Linked DNA regions of Drosophila melanogaster. The protein of the gene in region 1 interacts with the protein of each later gene in a pairwise test. Each region holds a gene or a part of one and is shown in the gene's direction. Other genes may lie near its edges.

What was found.
Region 2: the proteins of Rbsn-5 (region 1) and Vps45 interact in a two-hybrid assay, tested with the Drosophila melanogaster proteins (2 studies listed by BioGRID).
Region 3: the proteins of Rbsn-5 (region 1) and CG10209 interact in a two-hybrid assay, tested with the Drosophila melanogaster proteins (one study listed by BioGRID).

What each region holds. Positions count from the first base shown.
Region 1 is NT_033779.5:8,157,786-8,162,354, forward strand, and holds Rbsn-5 (Rabenosyn-5), read left to right. Parts: upstream 1-2,046; 5' UTR 2,047-2,306; coding exon 2,307-2,973; intron 2,974-3,031; coding exon 3,032-3,642; intron 3,643-3,707; coding exon 3,708-3,947; 3' UTR 3,948-4,015; downstream 4,016-4,569. Other genes in the region: PAPLA1 (phosphatidic acid phospholipase A1), read right to left, coding at 1,434-1,647; CG43394 (uncharacterized protein), read left to right, coding at 1-163, 232-394, 459-926; Acbp1 (Acyl-CoA binding protein 1), read right to left, coding at 4,136-4,278, 4,338-4,452, 4,526-4,540.
Region 2 is NT_033777.3:9,561,930-9,566,624, forward strand, and holds Vps45 (vacuolar protein sorting 45), read left to right. Parts: upstream 1-1,994; 5' UTR 1,995-2,096; coding exon 2,097-2,189; intron 2,190-2,252; coding exon 2,253-2,451; intron 2,452-2,502; coding exon 2,503-3,935; 3' UTR 3,936-4,163; downstream 4,164-4,695. Other genes in the region: CG9393 (uncharacterized protein), read right to left, coding at 1-72, 246-641, 888-1,166, 1,261-1,407, 1,507-1,593; CG16789 (uncharacterized protein), read left to right, coding at 4,295-4,534, 4,627-4,695.
Region 3 is NT_033778.4:14,845,554-14,850,195, reverse strand, and holds CG10209 (uncharacterized protein), read left to right. Parts: upstream 1-1,829; 5' UTR 1,830-1,993; coding exon 1,994-1,996; intron 1,997-2,224; coding exon 2,225-2,380; intron 2,381-2,431; coding exon 2,432-3,778; coding exon of another isoform or gene 3,779-3,865; 3' UTR 3,866-4,132; downstream 4,133-4,642. Other genes in the region: SMC2 (structural maintenance of chromosomes 2), read left to right, coding at 1-33, 87-1,524.

The sequences.
Region 1 (4,569 bases):
GTGGCACAAAAATTGAGTTGGGCATTGAATCGAAACTGCTGGTGATGGCTGGTCAAACAGCTACGCTACTCTTTGAGGTCACCAACATGAAAACGGAAACGGTTTACTCCACCATTCAAGTCACCGACGAGCGGCGCTTCTTGGTTCAACTGAATCCTACCAGGTTGGAGCGCTTAAGAGCGAAGTCTTTGGTTTACACATTATATATCTTACGTACTTCTGCCTTTGTAGATTAAGCCTGCGCGCCCAGGAGACGGCTACAGTGCGTCTGACTGTTCTGGTGCCCACTGGCACAGCTCAGGGCACCACAGACCGGATTACCTTCACCAATTACGGTCGCGAAACATCTACTCTGGCGGTAAATCTTAAAGTGGTGACTAGCATAGATGCTCAGGTATGTGAACAGCCGATAACCTGATTATGAAAGCATAATTGAAATGTTTAAATATAATTTCCAGGACTCAACTGGACCTACACTATCCTGGGAGTTTGGCAGCCGCTGTGATTACCTGACGCCCGAATCCCAGAATTGTGGTGAACGTTTTTGGACTGTGGATGTGACCGCTCAGGACTGGCAGTCAGGCATGATGCGTTTGCAGGCCTCGCCGCCAGAGGGTCTTTTCTACAGAAACTATTATACTGCTGGTAGCACAGAGCCCCTGAAGGCAACCTACATGGCCTCTTGCTGCGAACCAAAGGTATCACTCATCGCTTTCGATGCGGCCGGGAACCAGAGAAGCCTCACCATCGATGTCAGAGATGTGTATTTGAACGAGGCCGCCATTGCAGCCATTTGCCTTGGAGTCATTCTCCTGATCCTGCTTATTGCAGCCCTCATATGGAGCATTGTGTGGTGTTGCAGACGGAGGAAGACAACGCTGGAGCTGCCCACATATAGATCCCACTCCACTAGGAGCATGGAGTAGATTGTTGTTATGTTATTGTGCCAAGTTAGAACCTATGTGGTCTCGAAGTCTAATAAAATGCCATAGAAGTACCAGATATACAATATGGCACCGTTTTACTAAATGTATGCAAATATTTAGGATACAATTGTTTGTCCCTGCATAAACTACTGAAACGAAGTGCAACTTAAAAAAAGTAGTATAAACAATGTCGGTGATTTCAAACGATTAAATGGACTTAACTAATGTCTTATTTAGGAAAACTATTATAATATATCTATATATTTGTTCAGCTAGTAGTAGGTATACATATTTGTTTAAGCCAAAATAAGTGCTGACCTGACCCATTCCTCTATACACTGAAAGTAGTTTATATTAACTTGATCCGTGATAAAGTCAACCCCAGTTTATGAAGAGGGTAAGAAGGTCAAGTGCCTTGCCAGGCTTATCAGCTTATCATTATAGCAGCCGAGCAACAGGTGACCCCCACTCCGCGTTAGATTCACGAACGTACGGTGACCCACTTACCGCGATTCAAGATGCCAGCGATGAGGACGGGCGCCGCTGGAGGCGTGGCATGGACCACGGGCGGGGCGGCTGGCAGGAGCTGCGGCTTGTTGGGGAAGTCGTCGAAACTCAGGCCGGTCACGGAGGCGCTCAGAAGCGGATTTTTAACGACACGCGTCTGGTTTGCGTTGTTGTTTACGCGAGCGGACACGTCACCTTTCGATCTTTCCGACATATTAGCGGCCGATCTGGAGCTTTAAATTGGGCTAACTCGATATGAAGATGTGTGCCAAGTGCACAGTTGCCTTAGGAATTATTTTTATACACAGGATATTGACACCCACGACGGATTAAAAGCGTTAAACCCGAGAAAACTTCCAGGCAGGCAATATTCTGCTTCTTTCCGCGCATTGGCCATTCGCCATGGAAAGCTTTTACCAGGGCTGCAGCGGATCCAGAAATGGATAGGCAAAAGCTGGTAATCAAAATATGCTTATAACATATATATTCCTAGCTAGTTTTAACTGGGAAAGAGTATGAAATCTCCGTGACTACCATAAACAAATTTTCAAAAATCCAAATAAACAGCAAAAATAGCCAAATATTGCTTTTGCTGCAGCCCTAATTCTCGGATATTATTTCGAATTGCAATTTGGGAAGAAGAAGAGTGAAGTAGATAAATCTTGATGATTTCTGCAAATATTAGTTTTTAAATAAAATTAATGGATTTGTAGAAACTCTGACCGTATTAATCGAGTTTAGGACTACAAGTGCCGTAAGCCCCGTCATGCCACTGTTTTAAAACAAGTGGAAAACCTTAGGGTCAATTTTTTTTGGGGAGGAGACCACAACAAATAACACCCACCGAATTAACTACGATTACTCATCGCCGGAATGTCTGGAAATCCTTTCGACAGCGACGAAGATCAAAGCTCGGCCAGTGGAGAGATACTAGAGGGCTTCCTATGTCCCATTTGCCGTGCGGATCTCAAGTCCATCGATGTGCTCACGGATCATTTTGCCCGCCAGCATGCGGAAGAGGAGGATGCCCTAAAATCCTTTAAAGATATCTTTACCAAGGCGAAAAAGAAGATCCTAAACCCCTTTGAGGATGAAAAAGGTGCATCTGTATCGTCGCCCGCAGGTTCCTCCTCTTCAGCGGCTGGCAAGAATCCCAATGGCAACGGAGATCGCAATGGACCCAGTAATGCCCGCTCCCGTCTAAATGTATTTAACTATATGGCCAGGCAGCAGCCTGGTGCTGAGTGCTCCCACTTCGAGTACTTTCAGTCCATTCGCAATCCTCGCCTGGAGCGATATGCCAGCGAAACAAACAAACTAATCATTCGTTTGCACCGCCTGCTTAAGGATCTGCCAGCGGATTCAGTGCAGCGGCGTCAGCATGAACAGCAAACAGTTGCCTGGCTGGATGGTAGTTCCGTCAAGTTGTGTCCCAGTTGTGCCAAGAGTTTCCACATCGCCCGAAGACAACACCACTGCCGTTTGTGCGGAGGCATAATGTGCAATGATTGCTCCAAGTTCCTGCCCCTGGAAGATGCCAGTTTGTAGATCCAATAATTGAGGAAAATAATGTAACTTATTTGATTATAATCCCGCAGTGCAACTAGCCAGTCTTTCCACCACAAGAAGCGAGCCCCTTCAGCAGCTGCATCAGCATGAGAACGCCATCCGGCTGTGCGAACACTGCCTTTGGCTGCTGGACACCCGAAAGGATATGCACGAAAGTCGCACTTGTCGCCCACTCCTCGTCCAGGTCTACGAACAAATTCGTCAACTACAAAAAGAAGTTACCCCGGATCTGGACATGTATCTAAAGATCATCAATAGCTTGAACGAAGGGGACACAATCTTCACGTTGGCGGATGCAGGTGCTTTGCGCGGCAAGATTGGACAAGTGGCAGAGGCCATGGACATGAGGAGCAAGCGCATTCTAGCCATATTTTGTGAACCAGGCAGCCGGGAGGAGGCATTAAAGAAGGCCATTCGGTTGGGCTGCATCCAAGCCATCAAGGAGCGAATGTTATCGCTGCCCCCACTGCCAGAGGAATCGCACATACGCCAGATGCAGGAGCGTAGACGCATGGAAACGGAGCAGCGTATCCTCACCGAACAGCGCATGGCCATGGAAGCCTACGAACGAAATAACATGGCAGCTAACCAATCCAACGTTGGAGTTCCTGGTCCGGAAAGCGGATCCTTTGCCCAAGGGGTATGTAGACGAGGACTCTCTGCAAAGATCAATATGTAACCTCTGTGATTCCATTTGCTTCACAGTCTGATCTTCAATCTCTGAACAACTGGTCAGCACCGCAGGCGGCTAGCAAGTCCAGCCTGGACGATCCGCTGATCGAGCAGATAAACATCATTAAGGGCTACATCAAACAGGCTCGCCAGGACATGAACTTTGAGGTGGTGGAGACGCTGGAGCTAAATCTTCGCGAGCTACAGCGCGAAGTGTACGAGCGACAGCGCCAGTCCCAGGGAAGCACCGCCGCCTCACCCACAGAGGCCTAAGCAGTATCCTACATAGTTAAATGTATATTCATTCCCTCTATGACAAATTACATGGCTTACGTTACGTTACGAATTTGTGGTGTATATTGTGCGAAAAATTTTAGTTTGTGCGAAGTTTCTGTAAATCAAAGTTTGTGCGTTTGACGACAACTGAGACTATAAAATGCAACATCCTATTTCGATTGAGTCTATGACTTCAGGCCAACGGCAGCGATCAGTGCCTTGACCTTGGTAATGTAGGCGGCCTGGGCGTCGGTATTGCTCATTCCCTTGCGGTTGTTCCACGCCTCCCACTTGGCCTTGCCCTTGAAGTCCAGAAAGCCGGGCTTATCTGCATTGGATTAGAATTATCGATGGTGCAGCGGAGTGACGACTATGTCCGAGACCCACCTGTATTGCAATCCCCCACAGTGGCCTGTTTGTACAAGCTGTAGAGCTCCAAAAGGTCATTGTCCCCGGGTGTGGTGTTTAGGTTCTTAACATCTTCGGCCGCCTGGTTGAATTCCTGTTTAGGTTAAGTTTGAATAGGTAATCAGACTTTAAGATACGAATGCGTATTTGACGTAGATTCAGTTCACCTGCAATTCGGACATTTTTGTATCTATTTTTTAACTAGTGGAAG
Region 2 (4,695 bases), on another chromosome or scaffold:
GTCTAGGCCCTCCTCCATCTCGTCATCCTCGTAATCTATGCCATCGTAGTCCGTCGAAGAGCGTGTCGTTAGCTGCAAGGATGAATCAATCGGAATTTGCAATTAACTGAGAATTTTGCACGTGCTCAAGCTGAGGCTGTCTACAAGAGTGTCTGGAGCCAACAGAAGACATTGAACCAGAACTATCGAATAAGCTCCATCAAGTCAAGAGTAAAGAACTACAAATTTCAGCCAAAAATACCCACCTGGTTGTAAATCCCACGCCATGCCGCAAACGCTCCCATGGCCAAGACGGCTCCCACGCCGGCTACTATTTTGGTGTTCAGCTCGGAGTCTAGGAACTTGCGCTCCGAGGCCGTCAGACTGGCCTCCGTGCCACTGGGTGTCTTTGTGAGCTTGACGGAACTGTATCCCTCGATGCGGAATATGTCCTTCGTGATGCGGTTGATAAAGTTCACTAGGTTTTGGCAGCCCTTAATGTGATTCTGCAGTGGATTGTTAGGCAGTGCGATCTTAAAGATGATGGCAAGATAGCTGTAGACAATGGCATCAAACTCGCTGTAGGTGTCGCCAAAGAACCACACCTTGCGACCCAATTTCCGGGAGAGCAGGTTCACCACTTTTTTGGCATTGACAACGAGCTGTAAAGTAAAATGATTAATTGATAGTTAAAGAAACGTCTTGCTTTTCACAACATTGATAAGATATATTGATAACAAAAGACCAATACATGAGAAACTGTTTCTTATTAATATAAACTGATGAAACGTTTCCAATCGAAATGCAGCTTGGGTGTAAAACATAGGTTAGATAAACAAATTAAAAAATCCTCGGATTTAAAGATACAATAATGTAATATGAGACAATATGAAATTGAAAGCACTCACGTAGTCGCCTTCGTGCTTGTCCAACTTGTCGTTCACATCGAAACCGGCCATCACCTGAACCACGTCGCAGGCTTCCCTTTGGTAGGACGACGGGTAGTAGAAGTTGAAGGGGAATGGCGTGCGCTTGGCGTAGAGGCCCCGCGTGGTTGTGTCAAAATTGTGAGGCTCTCCAAACAGGAAGTAGTGGTAGTAGGCATGCAGATTGGTGAACACCCAGTTGGCGTAGGCGGTGGACAAATGCTTTTGTTTAGTGCTTAAATGCGCATCTATCGGGTAACCCTGAAAGAATACGTCGAATTAAGCCCATAAAAAAACACATATCTATAAATAGAGCCTGCAGTTTGTTCACCCCGGCATTGTTTTGCTCACTCACCTCGAGATCCAGCACGCGCTTAATTTGCCTATAGCCCGCGAACTTCTGGTTGCCGATCTGCAGATACGGCAGCTTCCCGGCTCCCGAACGCAGCGGATTGGAGCTGGTCTGCACGTCCATGGGGCAGCGGGTGAATCGCAGGAGGCACTGTTTCCGGCAAAGAGGCGCTTTCATCAGTTTCTTTCATCATCTGCGATAATGGGCAAAACAGGCGTGCTGGCCGCCGTGTGATGCAACGGAACTTACCAGAGCACGTAAACATTCAAAATCTATGGACGGCAGTCCGTACTCCCCCTTGTACACATACAGCATGGCTCCCAGTTGCATCTCCATTGTGTCCTAGTCTATGCTTTGCTCGTACTCTTGTATTTAGCCGGTTTTCAACAGTCCACCTGCATATCAGCCATCCGAATTTGAATCCAAAAATATATGCCAGAATTTCTGGCCGACTGCTGCGAGTGCTTCAGACTGATAACTACTGGGCACTCGATATATCGCTCGAGCATATCGGCGCTTTATCGATTGCCGGCCAGGGATGTTGCTACTCGAAGTTTATTTTGGCTAATGAAAAGATACGGAATTATGTTTGAGCTTAATTGCTATTTATGTTTATCTTTATTGCTATTTTTATTATACTACCAAAAAATTGTAAGTTTTTATCTATATGCATTTTTACATATTCACATTATTTTACATTAGCTAGATCTAGCGAATGTTACCCAAATGTTTGGTCACCGCTGTTATCACGGAGCTATCGCAATTGGGGCATCTCCAACCCATCTGTTTGCGAAAAAAAACATTAATTTCTGATTTTCGCAGTAAATTAGTTAGCAGTCATGAATCTGATAAGCGGCATTAAGTTGTACATCGAGAAAATGTGCTCCGAGTCGGGACCGGGCATGAAAATCATTCTGCTGGACAAGGAGACGGTAAGTGCAAGGACTGACAATCAAATCCCCTGCCATATGATCAAAAATTCACATCATTCGCAGACCAGTATAATTTCGATGGCCTTTAGCCAATCGGACATGCTGCAACGGGAGGTGTACCTATTTGAGCGCCTGGACTCGGGAAGATCCAACGAGCGGTTAAAGTATCTAAAATGCATCGTCTTTATACGCCCCACCAAGCAGAACATCCAGCTACTGGCCAACGAGTTGCGGAACCCCAAATACAGCGCCTACTACATTTGTAAGTGGGTCAGTAGAAGCACCTTCGGAATAGTACTAAACTCATAAATAGATTTCAGCAACATCATTCCCCGGACGGACATTAAATACTTGGCAGAGTGCGACGAATCCGAATCGGTGCGAGAAGTGAAGGAACTGTATGCAGACTACCTGTGCGTCAACCCCAATCTGTTCTCATTAGGCATTCCCAATTGCATGGCGAATCTTAATTGGCTGCCGGACGCTCTCAACCGCAGCATGCAGGGCATCACAGCCGTGCTGTTGTCCCTTAAGCTGAACCCAGTGATCCGGTACCGAGCCGGTTCTCAGGCAGCGCAGCTTCTGGCCAAGCTCATATACGAGCAAATCACAAAAGAGTCCTCGCTATTCGACTTTCGCTCCAACATGGATGGCGCTGCGCCACCGCTGCTGCTTGTGCTGGACCGCAGGGACGATCCTGTGACGCCGCTTTTGCATCAGTGGACATACCAGGCCATGGTGCATGAGTTGCTGCACATAAAAAACAATCGATTGGACCTGTCCAATTGCCCCAATGTGCCGAAAGACTTCAAGGAGCTGGTCTTATCCGGTGATCAGGATGACTTCTATGGCAACAACATGTACGCCAACTACGGCGAAATCGGATCTACCATCAAACAACTGATGGAGGAGTTCCAGCGCAAGGCGAACGACCACAAGAAAGTGGAGAGCATAGCAGACATGAAGAACTTTATTGAGTCATATCCGCAGTTTAAAAAAATGTCTGGCACTGTGCAAAAGCATTTGTGTGTGATTGGAGAACTGTCGGCGCTGAGCAACAAGAGGAATCTCTTCGAGGTTTCCGAACTTGAACAGGAGATCGCTTGCAAGGCGGAGCACTCGGCCCAGCTGCAGAGAATCAAAAAACTAATTGCCGACGAACGGGTTTCCATCGATGATGCTCTTAAGTTGGTGGCACTTTATGCATTGCGATACGAGCGACACGCCAACTGCGACACATCTGGACTGCTGCAAATAATCAAAACGCGCGGTGGACGAGCGGCTATAGTGCCATCGTTGATTGAGTATGCTGGAACCCATGTACGACAAGGAGATCTCTTCAATATGGTGCGGATAACGGACGCCGTAAAGCTGACACGGAATTTGATTAAGGGCCTTAAGGGTGTGGAAAATGTCTTCACACAGCACACTCCTCTCCTGAAGGAAACTTTGGAGGACGTGTTTAAGGGCCGCGAGCTGGATCCCCTCTTCCCGGCCATCAATTCAGAGCTTGTGCCATTTCGACGACCACCGCAGGAGGTTGTCGTGTTCATTATTGGCGGTGCCACGTACGAGGAAGCCTTAGCGGTGCACCAGTTAAACAACGCCGGCTATAAAGTCATTCTTGGCGGCACCACCATCCATAACTCGCAGAGTTTTATCCAAGAGGTCGTGGCCGCCACTAGTGGCATTCAGTTTAAGCACACCAAATCCATGATCAAGTACTGTTCCACGGATAACATTTAAAGTCTATTTTGACTAGATAGCCCCAATTATATTGTTAACTATTTATTAACTAAATATGAATGTGCATTATGTATTAAGGTATTCCATGCATTGTACCAATTCAAATCCATTGGACTATTTAACCTTTTAAGCGTAACCATGTAAACATATTTATTGTTATTCTCGAGGGTAACACCAGGCAACGCCTTGGACAAAATGTATTATATACAACTATGTGTGTACAAAATTACTAAACTCTCGTTGTCCTTGCAATAATTCCACCCCGTTTCGGCAAAAAGTTCCTTGGCAACTCCCAGGCAACGTTTCGTTTGGCTCAAACAAGAATCTGATTTTTCATTGGAGGAGTATCATTGACCATCATGTCCAGCACATATTTCAATGATATCTGGCACCAATCCCAGCATGAATGCGAGCTTCTATCCACGATTGACTATGAGAGGCAGCACCAGGATGTGGAGACGACGGTGGCCACCATGAATGCAGCGGTCGGATCCGTCGCCGCCGATGCGGATGCCAAGGCCTTGCTGCAGTCCAGTCTGTACGAGTTCTATCTGCGCTACATATGTCTGAGCAATCGTTTGGAGGATGTCTATGATAATGTGGGTATACGACTTTCTTAAACAAAAGTGGGATATATATAAGGAGATGATATATCCTTTGACTCTGGTTTACTTCTCATCTTTCATCATAGATGATTCAGCCTCAGAAGCGCCAGTTGGTGCGTAAATTACTAGACGCCTGTCTGGGTCGAGTGGTGGAG
Region 3 (4,642 bases), on another chromosome or scaffold:
CTCTGAGATAGCCCAAGTGGAAAAGCAAATTGCGTAGGTGAACCAGTAACTTCTCATTGCCAATACTTACGCCTATCTGTTTTTAGATCCATTGAAAACCAGGCCCTCGCGTTCAACAAAATGAAGGAAAATCTTGACTTGCGACAGCACGAGCTAACCATGTGCGAGAACAGGTTGGCCCAAACAACCTTTCAACAGAATCAGGCTGAAATTGAAGAAATGAGGGAAAGGGTCAAGACCCTAGAGCAGCAAATAATTGACTCCCGTGAAAAGCAGAAGACCTCGCAAGCCAAAATAGTGGATATCGAGGCGAAGTTGGCAGATGCAAAGGGTTATCGCGAGCGAGAGCTGAATGCAGCCACCAACGAGATCAAGGTGACCAAGCAAAGGGCGGAGAAATCTCGTGCGAACTGGAAAAAGCGAGAGCAGGAGTTCGAAACTCTTCAATTGGAAATTACTGAGCTGCAGAAAAGTATCGAAACTGCAAAGAAGCAGCACCAGGAAATGATTGATAACCTCGAAAAGTTTAAGGCCGAGCTAGACGCTCTGAAAGTAAATAGCTCCAGTGCCGCGTCCGAGGTGACGGAGCTCGAACAGGCGATTAAGGAGCAGAAAGATAAACTGAGAGATCAGAACAAGGAGATGCGAAATCAGTTGGTCAAGAAGGAGAAAATGTTGAAGGAAAATCAGGAGATTGAGCTGGAGGTGAAGAAAAAAGAGAACGAACAAAAAAAGATCAGTTCGGATGCCAAAGAGGCAAAGAAACGGATGGAAGCCCTTGAGGCAAAGTATCCGTGGATTCCGGAGGAGAAGAACTGCTTTGGCATGAAGAATACTCGGTACGATTACAGCAAGGAGGACCCCCACGAAGCAGGCAACAAGCTGGCAAAGATGCAGGAGAAAAAGGACAAAATGGAACGCACTCTCAACATGAACGCTATCATGGTGCTGGATCGCGAGGAAGAGAACTTCAAGGAGACCGAGCGCCGGCGAAACATTGTGGCGATGGACAAGGAGAAGATTAAGAAAATCATAGTGAAGATGGACGAAGAAGAGCAGGATCAGCTGAACAAAGCCGCTACCGAGGTGAACACGAACTTCAGTGGGATCTTTAGCTCCCTTTTACCGGGTGCTGAAGCGAAACTCAATCCCGTCCATACCAATGGCTGTCTGACCGGTTTGGAGATTAAAGTCGGCTTCAATGGCATATGGAAGGAGAGTCTCGGTGAACTTTCTGGTGGCCAGAAGTCCTTGGTGGCTCTGTCCCTTGTCCTGGCCATGCTTAAGTTCTCTCCGGCTCCCTTGTACATTTTGGATGAGGTGGACGCTGCCCTGGACATGTCACACACCCAAAACATAGGTAGTATGTTGAAGCAGCACTTCACCAACTCGCAGTTCTTGATTGTGTCTCTCAAGGATGGTCTCTTCAACCACGCCAACGTCCTGTTCCGCACTCTCTTCGAGGAGGGTGTGTCCACCATCACCCGGCAGGTCAGCAGACAGGCGACAACCAACAAACGCTGAAATGGAACTCGTTTACTTTCTTATCACTTAATAAAACTTTAAAAATACCATATAAAACTGTTCTTATCATTTTAATTGTGAATTTTTTCAAGTTTTTTTAATTCGCAAAAAAGGTTGTGTATTACAGCAATATACTTATTTCAAGAGCCATCGGTCAATATACTTATTGCTACATTACTTAAATCAACGAAATAAGTAATTTAACTACAAATTTAATTTTGTAACGGTCGTTTGCGCATCAGCTGATTTCCAACCGGGCGGGCGAAACGTCAAACTGGTGAGACCGTCAAACGCACACACACACATACGCAGCGGACAGAAGAAGAAGAACGAAAGGCAGCAACAGCAATGTTTGAGGGAGTGAAAAATTAAACAAAAGTCCCCGGAATTCAGCAGCAAAAACTCGACGGCGGTTGAAAAACAAAACATCAAGATTTCGAGCCAACGCAGACTGCTTCAAAAGCTCACCATGGTAATTTGCAAGGTTCCAAAAATTACGAATCGTCCGATTCTTTTACCACACACACACACGACTTGTGCGTGTGTGTGTGCGGGGAGCAGCAAAATATTGTAGACACCGCTGGCATTTGGATAAACAATAGCAACAATTGGAGTGGTGTTCGAGGCGGGAAAAGCACCGATTTGTGGAATTTCATTCATTGGAATGTGGGATTGCTAATGAACCGTTTTACTCTTCCAGGATCGAGTGACCAAGCCGCAGAAGAAGATGCTCATCACACTGCTGCGGGAAACCAAGTACATGGAGGGCAAAAAGGAGAAGGAGTGGTATTGGGAGAAGATCCAAGCGGCCCTTAATACTATTGGTCCCAAGAAGACGATTATTCAGTGGAAAAAGGTGCGTTTACTTGCCTATTAAATCCAAAAATAAACTTTAATCTTCTTCCAGTGCTGGCGCGATATGCGACTGACCACAAGGAAAAAGCTGGCGGAACTGAAGCGCTGTCAACTCTCTGGAGGATCTCCACCACCGGGGATCGAACTAAACCAGGAGGACAACGATATCATCGACATTGTGGGCACCGAGTACTTCTACGAGGAGATGAATGGTGAGCTCAAGGCGGAGAACTTCTTGACCGGCTTGGACTACGCCCCGGAGCATCTGTGCGATGCTATTCTCACGGCAGCAGTGGGCCATCACCAGCACAATATGCAGCACCAGAAGGATCCGCAATCGCATGCAGGGCAACAGCAGCAGCAGGATCATCACACCAACGATGGCGAAACCAATGATGCTCCTGGATCAAGCAATGGTGGCTCATATCAGGGACACCCAGTATCCCAGTTGCAGGCGCACAATGGCAGCGGTGGAGGAGGCGAGCATAGCGGCGGTGGTCAATCCCACTCCGGAATGCTCCAGCACCCTGCTTTTCACGGTGGCTTGCATCCACACCTGTTGAGGCGCCAGCATGGAAGTGGATCACTATCCAGAGAGTCGCCATTTGAGGAGAAGCTTCTGCAGTTCATGCAGGATGCATTTCCAAAAAAGAGCAAGAAGCGCAAGAACCGGGATCCCGACAAGCTGTTCCTCTTATCCCTGTACGAAGAGATCAAGAGAGTTCCGGAGGAGATACGCCTTGATGTAAAGTCCGAACTAATGCAGATACTGAAGAAGTATCAGAAGAAGTCGCCTGTCAAAGCGGAGAAGCCCGCGCCCTCCTCTACGTCAACCTCCTCAAAACTCAGCTCTAGCAGCAGTGGCAGTAGCACGGTGACTACTCACTTGTCCCACAGCATGTACCAGTTGCAAAAGAAATACGAAAAGGGCGAGCGTGAACCATCGCCTCAATCACAGGTAGAGCGAGTAGCATCTGCAGGCGCAGTTGCTGTGCCCATTCATACCTCCCAGCAGCTGCCTCTTTTCCAACTTCAGAAGAAGTACGAGGAGAACAGCGTGGAGAAGGTTCATCAGCAGCAACAGCAACAGCAAAGCGAGCAACGCAAGCATGTGGAGGCCGCTCAGGCCCTTCATGCTGCCCACCAGCAACCGCCTCCACCGCCACCCAATGAGCACCTGCACCACCCCCAGATGGCCCACAACATCATGTTTCCGCTGGGACAGCTTCGCAACGAGCAGCCGACCGCACAGCAACACCAGCATGGCCACAATCCCCACCAGCAACAGCAACAGCATCCCCACCAGCAGCAGCAACAGGGACAGCAACACCATCCGCCAACGATCTTCGGATCGACCGCCAGCGAACGGCCTCCAATGTCCTACGAAAATGTCGGATGAGTCCTGAGCCGTCTGTGGGAAGCCACTTGTGGAGCACCACGCCCTGCGACGGTGTCCCCCACGACGGCAGACGCGCACAGCTGTTAGCCCTCGATTTAGACGGCAATTCGTAGGTCTCATTCTTATGCTAGCCTATACCTAAGTACACATTGCTCACTACACTACTACAGTCAAAAATGGTGCAGTCAATGAGGAAGATACTCCTGATGTATGCCATTTTGTAGTAAGTGGATGCCGTGATCCTCATGTAAATGTTCCCGTGGCAATAACAGCGTAGCTCAACTGTGACTCAAGTTCTCAATAGATCGCGACGCATACATTTTTTCGGTGTAAATACAAATATAATTGAATCTTAAAAACTGTGGATGTTTTTTAGTTCAAGTAAAATGATTGATCCCCAACTTCTGGCAAGAGCTCCCTATTCCCAGGTTTTTGTTTTTCTGGCCAAATCGGAGAAGTCATTGGCTTAGCTCTGAGGTGGAATCCACAATCTTGTTTGTTTGGACTTTGAAAAGCTGTAAATCCGGCAAGCGGTCCGTCGTTAAGCTGTCTTCAGGAATATCTAGTCTTCATCTCTCGTAACGCGATAACGAAACCCACAGGGAGCACGCCATATCATAAAGATAGTCAAACAGCTGACTGATCCGGTCTGCCTAAGTGCGAATTTCAACTGAGCGCTGCCGATCGCCGAACTCGTCGTTGTCTGTCGCATGTTGGGCAGGTTGATGAGCGATCACGAGCCGAGCTGCAGCATAGTCCGCCAGATCTGCGGCGCTTATCAGTGGCGTCCGGCTGGGATAAAGAGATACAGATACAGATACAGGCGGATCGACTGGAGGCAGACTGGGTCTGGCATTCTTTTCC